Linked DNA regions of Lytechinus pictus. The protein of the gene in region 1 interacts with the protein of each later gene in a biochemical or structural test. Links are inferred from orthologs where the notes say so. Each region holds a gene or a part of one and is shown on either strand. Other genes may lie near its edges.

Evidence for each region. The genes of interacting proteins can lie anywhere in the genome.
Region 2: the proteins of ubiquitin-conjugating enzyme E2 N (region 1) and helicase-like transcription factor form a complex in vitro, tested with the Homo sapiens proteins (2 studies listed by BioGRID, with this or other methods). The link is inferred for Lytechinus pictus from reciprocal best matches to the Homo sapiens genes UBE2N and HLTF.

Annotation. Positions count from the first base shown.
Region 1 is NC_087247.1:55,174,870-55,182,668, forward strand, and holds the start of ubiquitin-conjugating enzyme E2 N, read right to left. Parts: upstream 3,437-7,799; 5' UTR 3,360-3,436; coding exon 3,333-3,359; intron 3,109-3,332; coding exon 2,964-3,108; intron 1,302-2,963; coding exon 1,161-1,301; intron 1-1,160. UniProt on the Homo sapiens protein: The UBE2V1-UBE2N and UBE2V2-UBE2N heterodimers catalyze the synthesis of non-canonical 'Lys-63'-linked polyubiquitin chains. This type of polyubiquitination does not lead to protein degradation by the proteasome.
Region 2 is NC_087260.1:4,433,559-4,440,932, reverse strand, and holds the start of helicase-like transcription factor, read right to left. Parts: upstream 3,464-7,374; 5' UTR 3,231-3,463; intron 1-3,230. UniProt on the Homo sapiens protein: Has both helicase and E3 ubiquitin ligase activities. Possesses intrinsic ATP-dependent nucleosome-remodeling activity; This activity may be required for transcriptional activation or repression of specific target promoters.

The DNA.
Region 1 (7,799 bases):
ATAAATAGGTATTTATTGTGAGTTTTGAAAATATATGAATAAATTAGCATATTTAATGAGTTTCAAAATTCTGTGTTAAATTTTATATCACCACCTCGAGCTATCATATAAAGCAAACAAAATTGAAATTGATCAACAAATGAAGAAGAAAATACACTTTTTGTGATTTATGAATAAATTTTGCATAAATTAGCAAAAATAATTTTCTAAACAAAATTTTTGTGTACAAGTTTGGTGAACCTCTCATGCAGCTCTACCAGATGGAAGAAAAAAAATCAAAATTGGTCAACAAATAAAGAAGAGGCATTTTCTGTGATTTATGAATAAATTTCGCATAAATAATTTTCTACTGAAAATTTCAAAATTCTGTGAAGAAGTTTGGTCAATGACAACCTCATGAAGTTCTACCAGATGGAAAAATAAAATAAAAATCGGTCTACAATTAAAAAAGAAGAAGCATTTTAGGTGAATTTTTAAAAATACGCATAAATTAGCATAAAAATTGTTCTACTCAAAATTTCAAAATTCTGTGTAGAAGTTTGGTGAACCTCATCAAGCTCTACCAGATGGAAGCAAAAAATTCAAAATCTGTCAACAAATAAAGAAGGAGAAGCATTTTTTTGTGAATTTATAAAAGTGTGCATAAATAAGCATATTTATTGAGTTTCAAATTCTGTGTAGAAGTTTTGAATCCCCCCACCTAGTGCTATCATATAAAGCAAACAGAATTGAAATCGGACTTGAAATAGCGAAGAAGCATTTTGATTGTGGACGGACGGCAGACGACAGACACCACGCCACAGCAAGGGCCAGATGAGCTAAAAAGTAGAAAAAGCTGGGAAATGATGGAAAATATTAATAGTAATACATGTAATTCAATTTGTATGGGATGATCTTAGATGATCAGCTATTCACTATCATCATTACAGATTGCATGAACAATTGACTTGAAGTCCATAGAAGTGGACTTAAAATTTCTTGTATTTAGTCATTCTAATTCAGGTATAGCTTAGTTATTTAAGTAAGTGGTTGATCTCTTTTAATAGATTTCTGTGATATTGCATACTTGGAAATTGAATTGAGTGGCAAGGGGGCTGAAGTAATCGGATGCGACACTTCAATAATCAGGTATGAGATGCATGAGACATTCAAATACTCACCTGTTTTAATTGCCTGAGCCTCATTTAACTTCCAACTCTCTGCAACATCATTTGCTAATGGGTCATCAGGGTTAGGGGCACTCAAAAGGGCTTGAATTGACAACAACACTGTTCGGATTTGAAGAGCAGGGCTCCATTTGTCTGCAAACATCAAAGAAGGATTATCCTGCCATTTAATGTACATTTTTTTACACTGAATACTTTCAAACCTTGAGACTATTAAATATCATATACCGAAATACACCACCAAGACAATTGCCTCAATGATCATTCATTTCTAAACAAAATGTCTTCACCAGATTACTGGATAGGCAGGAGTGACTCGATTGACTTTTGATATATGGTGGTGATTTTTTTTACCTGATAAAGAAAGCATGAATGCTGACAATTTGCTTAAATAAAAGACAATGATACTCCCTCAAGAATAATGAGAGCACACTCTAACTGTGTAGATGAGTTTAGAGCTTTAGAAAATATGTGAGTTGAAAAAAAGAGAGTTTAATGTCAATGAATTGAGAATAATTAAGTGATCCAGGACATATCTCCCCTCACAATGGAATGTATATTGTATAGTCATCAATTAACAAATCTATTCATAATTTAAACTACAAGTGGAATGCCTCTGGCAGTCTCATCTGCATTACGTGATTCGATATAGCAGCAGTGCTGACTTTGAAAACAGATATTTAATAATTTTTTATTCACAAAAGAACTAACTCATAGTCATGTGATAATAAAATACTATGTCCACAGTCCAGTATGTCCATTGACCAAAAATGACATTTGACCATGATCATGTGACCTAAGATGTGTGCAAAACAATCATTCATACTTGATTGCCCTTATGTCTGTTTTATGAACTACATGTGGAGATCCATAACCTTTCGAAGTTATGATGCCAATTCAACAAATACCCTGAACATGGCCAAAGTTCATTGACCTTAAATGACCTTTGATCTTGGTCATGTGACCTGAAATGTGCACAGAATTTTTAGGGATACATGGCTACTCTTATGACCAAGTTTCATGAAATATATATAACTTTTAGAGTTAAGATGACAAATTCACAAATACCCCCAACATCATAAAATTTCATTGACCCTAAATGACCTTTGACCTTGGTCATGTGACCTGAAACTCTGGCATGATCTTCAGTGATACACTATTACCCTTATATCTCAGTTTCATGAACTAGGTCCACATACTTTCTTATGATGACTTTTCAAAAACTTAACCTTGGTTAAGATTTCAATGTTGACGCCGCCGCTGCCGGAAAAGCGGCGTCTATAGTCTCGCTCTGAAATGCAGGCGAGACAAAAATGATGTGATCCCTTGTTTTTACAATATTTCAGTTTGACACATTCTGCAGCTCTAGATAAGGATCAATCGCTGGCACTGATATTCATAAGAGGGTAAATAATCTCCCCATGACATTTTTCATCTACGATATGAACTTTTACCAACAACAGAACACTGGTGGCAGCATCTTAAATTACACCACGATACACCTCTATTTTGCAGTAATCTGTCAAGAAAGGCAGTCTTAAGAGTGTACACAAATCTTCCACAGTAACCTCTAAAAGACCAAATGCTGATGGTAGCCTCACCAAAGGTTCAGTTTTAAAGATACACCTTTGGACTAATTCCAAAGAAATCACTTTAAAATGGGGCAGTTAGAGTGCATACAATAATGATGTAGCCACATAAATACAAAGTATACTATGAAATTTTGCCAGGGGAAGGGGAGACAAAAAAAATGAACAAAAAAGCATGCAGATTTATTAGTAAAATAGTTGTACTTACCTTTGAGTATATCAAGGCAGATACGTCCCAATTTATCCACATTAGGATGATAAATTTTTGTCATAAACCGTACTTTTGGTGCTGCCATTGGATATTCTTCAGGAAGAAAAAGTTCTAGTTTAAAAGTCCCATTTTCAAAAGGAGACTGATGAGAGAGGGAGAAATAAATAAGATAATCATTAGTAAAAATTAATTCGGAATTATCATACAGGCAGATGACAAGGCATTCTAAATGAAAGGCAAATATAGACCAAGTTATTATTTGACAATTTGGTCATAGATGTAATAGGATGAGACCTAATGGCTTTACCATATTAGAGAAAGTGAGAAAATACATGAAGTAGCATTCCACTCCTTGGCAATACTTACATCTTTGGGTCCATCTATTGTCACCATGAATAGTCTGCAATTTGCTTCATCTGGGGTTGCTTTTATTCCTGGTACAGGCTCAGTATTGAGACGCTGTGTCTCCTATTTTTGGTAGTTGTAGAAAGGTAGAGATAAACAAACAGTAAACAAATTAATAATTCCAATAGATTTAGTTGTAAATGAATATTTACAACATTGCAACGATAATAATGAGAAGTTGAAACTTGAATGTCGTCCTAAATGAGAACTAAATAGAACATTTTGTCAGACGAAAATATTGATGAAATGCTTCCCTGATTGCCACTTGGGTTAGGGTCAAGCTTAAAATATAAGGTTCACTGATTTGGCCCTCGACGGTGACCGAGTACTTATTTAAAACACTATCCATGCAGGGGAAATTGTCAATTTAAAGCCTGGCCAAAGCTTTGGTAAATGGTCATACGTAAGTATCATAAAACCAAATACAGAAAATTGCCGTAGAATGTTTATATATAGAGGTTCACGCCTATATAATGACTTACCTTTAGATATGAAATTTATCAAAAACTTAACTACATTTATTACTTCTTTGAGCTCTAAGGTTTCGAAGTACATTGATATCTGAGCAACGCATTGTTTTGCCGGGAAGGGGGGGGGGGGGTATTTGCTTGTAGCTTGAAATCGTAACTTTATATTTAGTTTTATGTCTACTGACTAGCTTTCATTACTTTATATTTTGTTTAATGTCGTTCTTTTCTATTGTTAATGATGTTTATAATACAATCTGATCTATTTTATTATGTTCTGGACCCCTAGGCAGAACAGAGTGGTAAAAATTACCACTCTGAATGGGCAATCCAGCCATTCATATGTATTCATTTTATTTTGTAATTATATCTGATGTATTTTGTTTGTATTTTGCATGTTTTTATGAATGGAAAATAAATACAATACAATACAATCATCTATCCTAGCATTCCAATGTTACAGAGGTGTTGCAGCCGTTGAATCTTTTCGCAACTGCAGATTCTCTGTCAAATTCAAACACACTGTATTCAAATCTAAGATATCTAGTGCTTTATCTCAGCAATATGTTTCTATTTCTTCAAAAGGGGTTCTTTGAGCACTAAATACTGTGAGTTACATTCATCTTACACAATCTAAATTAATATCAGATACAGACAGAGATTTTATCCAGCAAATTTCACCCCATTCCGTGCTTTGGAATGGGTGTTATAAAAAAGAAAAAAAAATCACAAAACTGAGTGGGTTTTTTTTCTTATGATAGAAATATTTTCATGTAAAATCACAAATTTGTAATGTAAAGCATATTTTTCAATTCATATCTTCCACAACATAACTGTTTAGGCCTAGGGCATACAACTAACTTAGAAAGATTACTGATTATACCTCACTTGCCATATATTTTTATCCATTTACATTATTATGTAAAGAAGTGTTTATATTATGGTCCATGATTTGAGAAAGTGGATAGTATTCACTTCCTATTTATACCAAAATTACAGCAACATTTGAATGATTCAACTTTACCAAAAATCTGCAATTCCTGTAAATGAGACAATAAAGCTAAACACAGGCATTTGGTACAAAATGTGATTGCACAAAAATCATTTTCCAAATTTTCATTTTGAAAAAATCCACTCCAAAAGCTTATGACTCAATTTTTAATAAATTTTAGAAGATTTATAACCATGAATTTATTGTTTATTTTCATGAAATAGGAGGATACTCAAAGTTAGAATTGTTAAAGTGTCAGTGAATAAGTGTTTGAAAGTAATTGATCGCAATCAGTACTAATTGGTCATGTAATCAGTTTTTGTTTAAGGAAAAGTCTACCCCCAAAAAAATTAATTTGAATAAAAAGAAAAAAATCCAACAAGCATAACACTAAAAATTTCATAAAAATTGGATGTTAAATAAGAAAGTTATGATATTTTAAAGTTTTGCTTAATTTCAGAAAACAGTTATATGCACATCCTGATCAGAATGCAAATGAGGAGACTGATGACATCATCCACTCACTATTTCTTTTGTATTTTATATGAAATATTCTAATTTTCTCCTCATTGTCAAGTGAAGCAACGATTAATTCCTCCCTGAGCATGTGGAATTAGCATTGTTTAATACCATATAGTTTAGTCAAGTTGGTCCTTATTGTCAAACCTTTAAAAAATGAAATATTGTATAATTCAAACAATAAAAAACAGTGAGTGAGGGACATCATCGACTGTCTCATTTGCATGCCACTGAAATGTGCATATCACTGTCTTGTGAAAAATAAGCGAAACTTTAACATGTCAACTTTCTTATTTTACATCAGATTTTGATGAAATTTTCAGCGTTATGCTAGTTTGATTTTCTCTATTTATTCCAATCAACATTTTTCTGGGGTGGACTTGACCTTTAATAAAAGAAAATATACAACAAGTGGAATGCCTCTGGCCGTCTCACCTGCATCACGCGATTCAATATAGCAGCAGTGCTGATTTTGAAAACTACTATAACTCGCACAAGATGTTCAGTGATACTTGGTTACTCTTATTTCCACGTTTTATGAACTAGACCAATACACTTATAGAGATATGATGGCAATTCAACAAATACCCCCAACGTGGCCAAAGTTCTTTGACCTTACATGACCTTTGACCTTGATCATGTGACCTGAAACTCGCACAGGATGTTCAGTGATACTTGATTACTATTATGTCCAAGTTTTATGAACTAGACCAACACACTTTCAAATTTATGGCTGTAATTCAACAAATACCCCAATTTGGCCAAAGTTCATTGACCCTAAATGACCTTTGACCTTGATCATGTGACCTGAAACTTGCACAGGATGTTCAGTAATACTTGATTACTATTATGTCCAAGTTTCATGAATCAGATCCATAAACTTTCAAAGTTATGATGGTAATTCAACAGATACCCCCAATTCGGCCAAAGTTCATTGACCCTAAATGACCTTTGACCTTGGTCATGTGATGTGAAACTCATGCAGGATGTTCAGTGATACTTGATTAACCTTATGTATAAGTTTCATGAACTAGGTCCATATATTTTCTAAGTTATGCTGTCATTTCAAAACTGAACCTTCAATTATAAATTATTAAGATTTGGTGTTGACGTCGCCGCCGTCGGAAAAGCGGCGCCTATATAGGTGAGACAAAAACTGAATAATGAATTTTCATTCAAAAATTTTACAATTTTTTTTTAATGAAACCCTTGTTACAATAAGTGCTTGATTGCTTGGTTCCTGCTACCTTGTTTTTTTTATTCATTTAGATTTTGAAAATATTTGCCCAACCTCAGCCCAAACCAGTTAAAAAATGGTTTTAATTATATGGCTGTGCAACTAATTTCCATGATAAAAGTCAAGATGGTGGTCTAACCAATGGCAATAAATTTTTCCTTGTTCCTGGTGGTACAGAAAGTCACTCAACTAGTATTGCAATTCGCTAACAGAAATCCAATTTCGATCATCGTTTATTATCAAAACATTTCAGACCTATTTCAGGCTCCATGCAGTTTGAAAAAAAAAAGACAAAAATAAGTGGGTTTTTTTGGGATCGGAATATGGCGGCACGCTGAGGAGTCTCGCACGGTGGACGTCTGTTTATATTCAGCCTTAGTTTATTCATTTTACACTTTCACAGACCTTTGTCATTAGATATATTCTGTTAAACATCATGAGTCACCTAAAACACCAAAGCCCAAGGGATCCAGGTGAGTCACCTGTAAAGAAAAGACCTTCTTTGAGTAGTGAGAATCGCTTAGAGATTTTGGGAGATTTGCACGATGCCAACAACGAGAGTGCTGCCGCTAGCTCTGGCGCTGCTGTGGAGAATACTCCCCCTCCTTGGTTCGCAGAATTCGAAAAGCGGCAGCAGGCATGGCTCGAATGTATTGTTGATTTGTTTAGACAAGAACAGGCAGCCTTGAAGTTCAAGATGGATACACTGAAGGAGGAGGTTGCTGAAGTTAATAAGCTTGCCTTGGCAGAATCCAAGATTGATGACTTAGAGAACAGAAGTAGGCGCAACAACTTGGTCATCTACAATGTTCCTGAAGGGCAAGAGGGATCTGATTGCAGCAAGTTTGTATCCAATTTTCTGAAGTCATCCAATTTCTCAGCTACTATTCAGAGAACTCACAGAACTGGACCACAGAATGATGACAAGTCTTCAACATCCATGGTAAAAAATCAACGTCCAAGACCAATTTATGTTGGCTTCTCATCTTCCGTGGAAAAGGAAAAGAGTAAAAAGGCTCTAGTGGAATGCTTCAAGAAAGAGAAGGAAAATAAATTATTCGTGTGTGATGATTTCTCTCGGAGAGTTCAGCTGCTAAGGAAAAAAAGTTAAAGGAAAGAGTTAAAACTACTATGGGAACAAGGAAAGAATGCCTTTTTTGTGTTTCCAGCGAAGATTGTGGTCCAAGAATCAAAGCCTAAAAAATGAACATTGT
Region 2 (7,374 bases), on another chromosome or scaffold:
CTTGATTTTGAGCTTCACCATACCATCTCCTTCTGTTTCCTCTCTCTTTTTTTACTCTCTCTCTCTCCAAGTATATTTTTTCTGACATATTTTAAAGTGTACCTTTAATCATGCAACTAATTATAGAAATATAAATACATACAAAAATCTCTGCACTTGTTTTAGAAATTCACTTGCAAATCCATGACTCAAGAACATACCATGTCAAAAATATCCATATGTGCACAATAGATTTTAGCCTTCTATTTTCTTTCATTTAATTTTTTCAGTATATTTCTGTGACAGCCCCTGCTTTATCCTACATCTCCCATTGTCAAAAAATGAATATTATGTTTCAGTAGCAAAATTGTTGGATGCAAACTCTGACTGTCATTTTAAAAAATGCAAATAATTTTCCATTGGAGTAAAGACAAACTTATTCACTGTACATTGAGCAAATGATGACCTTTATTTCTCTACATATAATTATATTATAGTCATTTCCCTTTCAGATTGTGGTAACTGCAGGAATGGGAAAACTCAGTGATAAAACTAAAATTTTCACAGAGGATTTTTGGAAAATAACTAAATCCATTTTTGTCAAGCAACAGTTATTCCATTCTGAATGCTGCAACCTTGTTAATATGAAGTTGATGCACCTTTACCAAAATATAATATCATGACAGTCATTTCTTCAATTCTTTAAACTAGACATTAACTATTGCTAATAGTATTATTCAGGACAGAGTGTAGCCAAAATGGAGTTTAAAAGATTATGAAAAAAATGAATGTCATGTTATATTTCGGTGAAGGTGTAAGCATTCAAAATGGAATAATTGTTGCTAGATAAATAATTAAAATAGCAGAGAAAAATGTACTTAGAGAGGGAGACAAAGAGGGGGAGAGGGGAAACAAATCAAGAAGGTATGGTAAAGATCAAAAGTACAAAGAGTGATGTAAGAATGTCAGAGTAAGAACTGAAATGAACAAAGACTGCGCAAAAGAAGATAAATAAAACATTGATTAATTGGGCACCGAAAACAATCTTTTATCAAAGCAGAATGTTTTAGGCTTTAAATTAATATGCTGAAGTGTAAAGGATTTTTCTCCCCCCCTTTTTTTTTGGGGGGGGGGGGTTAAGTTCCTAGTAATAATTTCCTTTTACTCTTTATGTGGCAATTTTCTAAAGCCCCCCCTCCCCCCAAAAAAAAAAAAAATGGAAAGGGGTGTTTTTTTTAAGAGTGTTTAAGTTCCTAATGGTCATGGCCTTTAACCTTCTATATTTTTATGTTGTCAGTTTTTAAGGACCTCCTCTGCCCCCCCCCCAAAAAAAGAACCTATAAATATTATTGAAGGTGATTAATACCCTGCGCTATTATATGACGTTAAAGGGGAATCCAACCCAAATAAACACTTGTTTTTAGAGGAAAAGGAAAAATCAGACAAGTTTATAGGTCAAAGTTTGAACAATATCGGACAAACCATAAGAAAGTTGTGAATATATAAAAGTTGTAAACATTGGTAATCACTATACCCATGAAGACTTCAAATTGGCCGCATATGTGATGTCATCGTGATGTAAGGCAAGGACCACTCTTCCATGTACAGGAATAATTAATTGGCTAAAATGTCTTTTTCAAAAGTTTTATATTATTTTATATTATATCTTTCTTTCATGAGGACATAAAACAATATACTACCAGGTTCATATTACGGCCCCAATGGAATAGGGATTTAGGAGAAACCAAAAATCCTGATAATTAAGTACAAGCCCTATGGGAAAGTTGTCCTTGCGGCCTCGCCCCTTGTCATAATTTACTTACCCAGTTGCCAATTTGAAATCTACATACTAGTAGTCTTTATAGGGATCTTAATTTTAAAGCAGCCATAAATTTTGCTTGTCCGATTTCTTTCAAACTTTCACCATTCTTATTTTTCTCCTTTTCCACACAACATGTTATGACCAAGGCTGGATTCCCTCCCCTTTAACACTGAATATGAATCTTTACCCAAAATGAATATTTGTGTCAAATTTTATGAGCACAGGCTGAAAACTGAGAAGTAGATTGATCCACGATGAATTTTCCTGCATTTCTAGCTATCATATGTGGTTACCCTGGCAATGCACTCTCTGACAAATGCAAAAAAAAAGTTCTTGCACATCTTTACCTCAAGGCCAATGTGTGAGCCGTATTTCATGATAATTGTTTCAAAACTGATGAAGTAGTTCAAATTGCAAGGTGTTTACCTAAATCTTGCCATATAATATGTTGTTACCATGGCAACACAATTTCTGAAACACACAAAAAGTGCCTTGTACATCTTTACTTTAATACCAATGTGTGTGCTGAATTGCATGTGAATTGATTGAAAACTGATGAAGCAGTTTGAATTGTAAGTTTTTTCCCAATTTTCACCATATAATATGTTGTTACCATGGCAACGAGATTTCTAAAAGACACACAAAAATCTGTCTTAGACATCTTCACCTCAAGACCAATGTGTGTGCCGAATTTCATGAGAATCGGATGAAAACAGAGGAAGTAGTTCTAACTGCAAGATTTTTACCTTATTTTGGCCATAATACACTGTTACCATGGCAACACCATTTCCAACACATGCAAAAAATGTGTTTTGCACATCTTTACCCCAAGACCAAAATATGTACATACATACCAACATCCAACCCCCTCCACCGCCACCCTTCGGCTTGTTTAGCATCTGCATTCAGATCTTTGGTGCATTGAGATGTGAGGACAAACAGAACATCTGTTCAAAAAGGGTCTGAATTTAAGAACTAAACCAATGCAAAATAATGCACTGCTATTGAGTTTTGCACTAGCGCTAGTCTATATATCAGACCAATCTAAACTCATAAATTCTGACCTTTTTCACCCATTTTTTCTCTGTTCCTGCAGCCAGATTTTTTGGAGCATACCCCATTTTTAATTCTTATACAAAATCAAAGGTCTGGAGAAAAAATCATGCTTTTGTCCACCGTGTCCACAAGTAGGGTGTTTTTGACGCTAACAGACCGGACTATAGGTCTAACGAGTAACGTTAAGTGAATGGGTGCGCAGACAAGGCCAAGGTGTGAGGCACCATTGATTGATCTGAACTGTCTGGCCGGTCAACATTCATGTACCGGTATTTATCCTGAATTTCTGAAAGAATAAAACTTTTATAAAAAGAACGACTCATTTTAATTCAAGCAACTGTAACAAGTTTTATGGCAAAGACGAGCATCTTACCAATCAAAGGATGTTTACAAATACAAAATGTTGACTCTCTCTCCCCCTCGTTTCAGTAGTTCCTCGGTATCGACGCTGTGGCTATACTATCGCGCTATAGCGCGCACTAGCGCCTAGCTAGCTAGCTAGCTAGCGCAGCAGCGCAGCCTGCATGCGCTGCTCGCTCGCGCTCGATCGCGATCGCGCTCCCTAGTCGATCGTGCAAAACATCAAATTTTCCCGCTCGTATATATACAGCGCCCTCCCCGTAAATCCGGATAAGGGGATCAGCGAGCCGTTTGAGCGTTTCACGAAAGGACTTGTCGGACATTATCAGTAGGCCCTATAAAAGTCCCATTTTATCCGGCACTTTATCCGACAGTTACCTTTTTTTCTTCTTTTATCCTCAAATCGAGGTACCGTACGCTGCCCAATCGTCGCTCAGTTTACGTATTTTCCTTTATGTTTCATTCAATTAGCTATGATACCCTTACTTCTATGTCACCTGAAAGAGAAAATACTGGAAAATCGTTTCATAGGATAATAATTATATGTCTTCAAAGCACCGCTGTGTAATTCGCCGTTTTCGGCACCCCTTGCGCCTGTCCCATTCGCCGCTCACCACTGCCCTAACTCCGCTCACTTAGCGCGCGCATTCATACATGTAGTTTATAAGGCCTGATACTTATCTTTTTTTTTCTACCCTTTTTCTTGCACTTCTGATTGAGAAAGTGTGTAATTTTGTTGTGATTAAATGTATTGTTTACAAGTTTTATAGTACTATACACTGTATAAAATGTTCCTTTCGCCAAGTGCAATTATTTTTAGGGCCTCAAACTTTTTGTTACTGATCATCGCCTATAGGCCTATCATTTTTTTTAATCCTCTAAACTTTATTCCGTATTTTTTCATAAAATACATATTTTCAAAGTAATCATTTTCGCCACTCATCCAACTTGAGTGCCCCCCCCCCCTTGTCGTCCCTTCCGCTCATTGCCCCCTGATGCCATTGACCATTGATTTCCATTATTATTTTTTTTTTACTATTATAAATAATTATTTGCATCCTCCTTCAGGTTCTAATTCAAATTTGCTGCTTTGACACTGTCTTGACTCATCATTTACAAGTATGTATTCGTGTATCCCACTTTTTTGTTTACTTTTTCGTTTACTCTTTATTTATTCCCCTACTTTTTCTTGTCGTATTGATATTTTATGGGACTCTCACTGCATATTTTTTGGAGCCTTCAACCAACAAGCTTTGCTTTTACTTTTAGCTCCATCATATCCACATCTCTCATTTTCTTTCTTTGTCATTATTTTAGAACCAATTACAAGAATACATTCTAGTACTTTTTTCTATTGTTATTATTATGTATACATTTCATATGTTTACGATGTTTATTTATGCTTATCTATGAAAACATGTATTGTATAATATTATTGTTTGTATTGAATTGTTGATTTTTTGAAAATGTGAAATGTTGATGTGCATAAACCTTAAACCCTGAACTCCGATAATATTTTTTGGGGGGATTCCCTTATATTGACTTTCATAAAAAAAAGCTCATCTTGAAAAACAACAATAATATTTAATCACCTCGCTGGTTTAAGTTCATATTCTAACTCCCGTCAATAATAGGAGAGGGAAAAAGGCACTCAAGAAAATTCTATTTGTTCAAAATAAATTGGTCAATTTAAATCCTGTTCCGTTTTCAAACAAAACATAATAAAAAAAAGGAAATCTCCAGAAACATGACAAAGTTTCATCTATTCAAATCAATCAGGAAACTACTGACCGAGCTCAAAAGGCCTATATATAGGCCCATTAGTGGGATTTTTTAAAATTTATTCATTTAAATTCTTTATTTTATTTAGATTTATAGATATGAATCAGATAGGCATGCAGATAATGGGCCTAACATAAAATATATGTATCATTAGGCTCATAAGTTATCACATAGGCCTAATTACACATCTATTTGAGGTGACGTGTATAAAATCCTTGTTTCATTCCAATTGAATTATCCCTAAATTTCATACTCAGAGTAAATAATATTGGTAATCATCAAAATATGAATAGGCCACATTAAAAAAAACCAGCATTACGATCGATAATAGCCTAGAAGACATGCCAGGGGCCGCGGAACCGGGGGAGGGGCTTCACCCCAGAACAAACAAAAAAACTATCCCTATATAGTTGTTTGTACGTCGGTATTGATAAACATCGAAGTCTCATTTTTTTAGCATTGATGACCCTACGATTCGTTATAGAGCAAGATAATTTTTGTAAAACTTTTTCCCAAACACTTTGGGCCGGGACAATGATTACAATTAAATCTCGAAATATTTCTGGTGAACAGTGACAAACTCTTTTGATCATCTTTCAACATTTCTGTGAACGTCAGCTTATCTGCCTGCTCCATGATAAATCGTTGACGACCGAGGGGCTTTTATTTGCCGTCACCCTCAGCTAAAGGGAGAGCGGGAGAGAGAGGGGGAGATAGAGATGAAATCGAAGGAGAAGTGAGAGAGGAAAATGTAAAAGAGTATAAAGAAGAAAAAATGGCCGCGTCGCAAAATAGACAACAACGGATGAGGTATCAATCAAGGCCGGAATAGGAAAATAATAAAATGAAAAAAAAAAGATTATCAGGAAGGAAAATAAAAGGAAGAAGACAAGACGAAAATGAGAGTTGGGGGACCGACAAATACCTGTACCCTTCATTTAGAACAGAATAACTATTCAGCCTGCGCTTCGCGTCCGCATTGCCCGTTTGTTTCATTATTCATGTCTTGTTTTCAAGTCATTCTCGGTTTGTAAGATAAAATATCATTACAAAAGTGCTTAAAATGTTTCGTTTTTTCTCTGAATCAGGGGCGGAAATCTCTCCCAAAAAGTAGGGGGGGCAAGGGGCTGGAAAATTTGACAAGCAAAAAAAATTTGTTCATGAATTCATATGACACTCGATCTCTTTTAAGACTTACTTTATTATTCATGTATTACAGTTATAATCTGCTCTATAGCTAACATATTGAGCATAATATTATAGGCTGATCAATCGAGCTGATTTATCTTATAGAAAGTTGTATTGTCAAGCAAATATTACCACTATTCTTATTGAAGCGATGTTTCTTATGAGGTAGGCCTATACTGAATTATGACCTGAAATAAATTCAGACATTTCTACATTGTTTACACTTAATTTTCATCTCATATTAAATTAACGAGTTGAATTAGTAGAGTAATCAGGCGTTACCATGGCAACATACCATTACCATGCATTCAAATGAACTTATATCCATGCAGAACACTCTGTTGTTTTCGAAATTTAATTTAAATGAGTTGGTCGAACCTATGTAGATTTTTGGCATTTTCATTGTCATTTTCCACCATTCATCTTTTCCCACCATAATGTTGATTTTTGATGGCAATTCAATAAATGCCCCCAACGTACATGGCCAAAGTTCATTGACTTTAAATTACCTTTGACCGTGGCATGACCTGAAACTCACTATAGGATTTTCACTGACTCCCTTATTTCTAAGTTTCATGAAAGCTATAGAAACCTATAGGCCTATTTCAAACTTATGATTACATTTCACAAACTTATCCTGTTTTAAGATTTCAATGTTTACGACGCCGCGCAGTCGGAAAAAGCGGCGCCCTGTCTCTGCAGGCAATCAAGACAATTGTATTTTTCTGCGGGAAAGATAAGCCGTTACCATGGCAATGGATCTTTCGCAAAAAGCTTTGATGACTTGATAGGCCTATATCTAGAAATTGAATTTGGAAGGCTTAAGAATGATAGATTGGACCATTTAAATTGACAGGGTAATATGCCATATATATAGGCTCAATATGTTATTTTTAAAAACATATTAATCAGTTGCCATGGCAACGGCGGAAGGAGGCATTTATGAAACTGGCAACAAGCGAATTCATGTTCAGCACCATCAAAATAGAGGAAATGACACAAAAAATCAGATTCTAATGAAAAGTCTACTTGAAAAATTATGACAATTCCGTTTAGGCCCTATACTCTTACAATGATTATCATACTACAATCAGGGTGAGCGGAGTTAGGGCAGGCTGCTATCTCAAGGTATGCCCTCGCTAATTCATTCACACAACAAATATTCATTCTTGAAAAAATTGTCACGA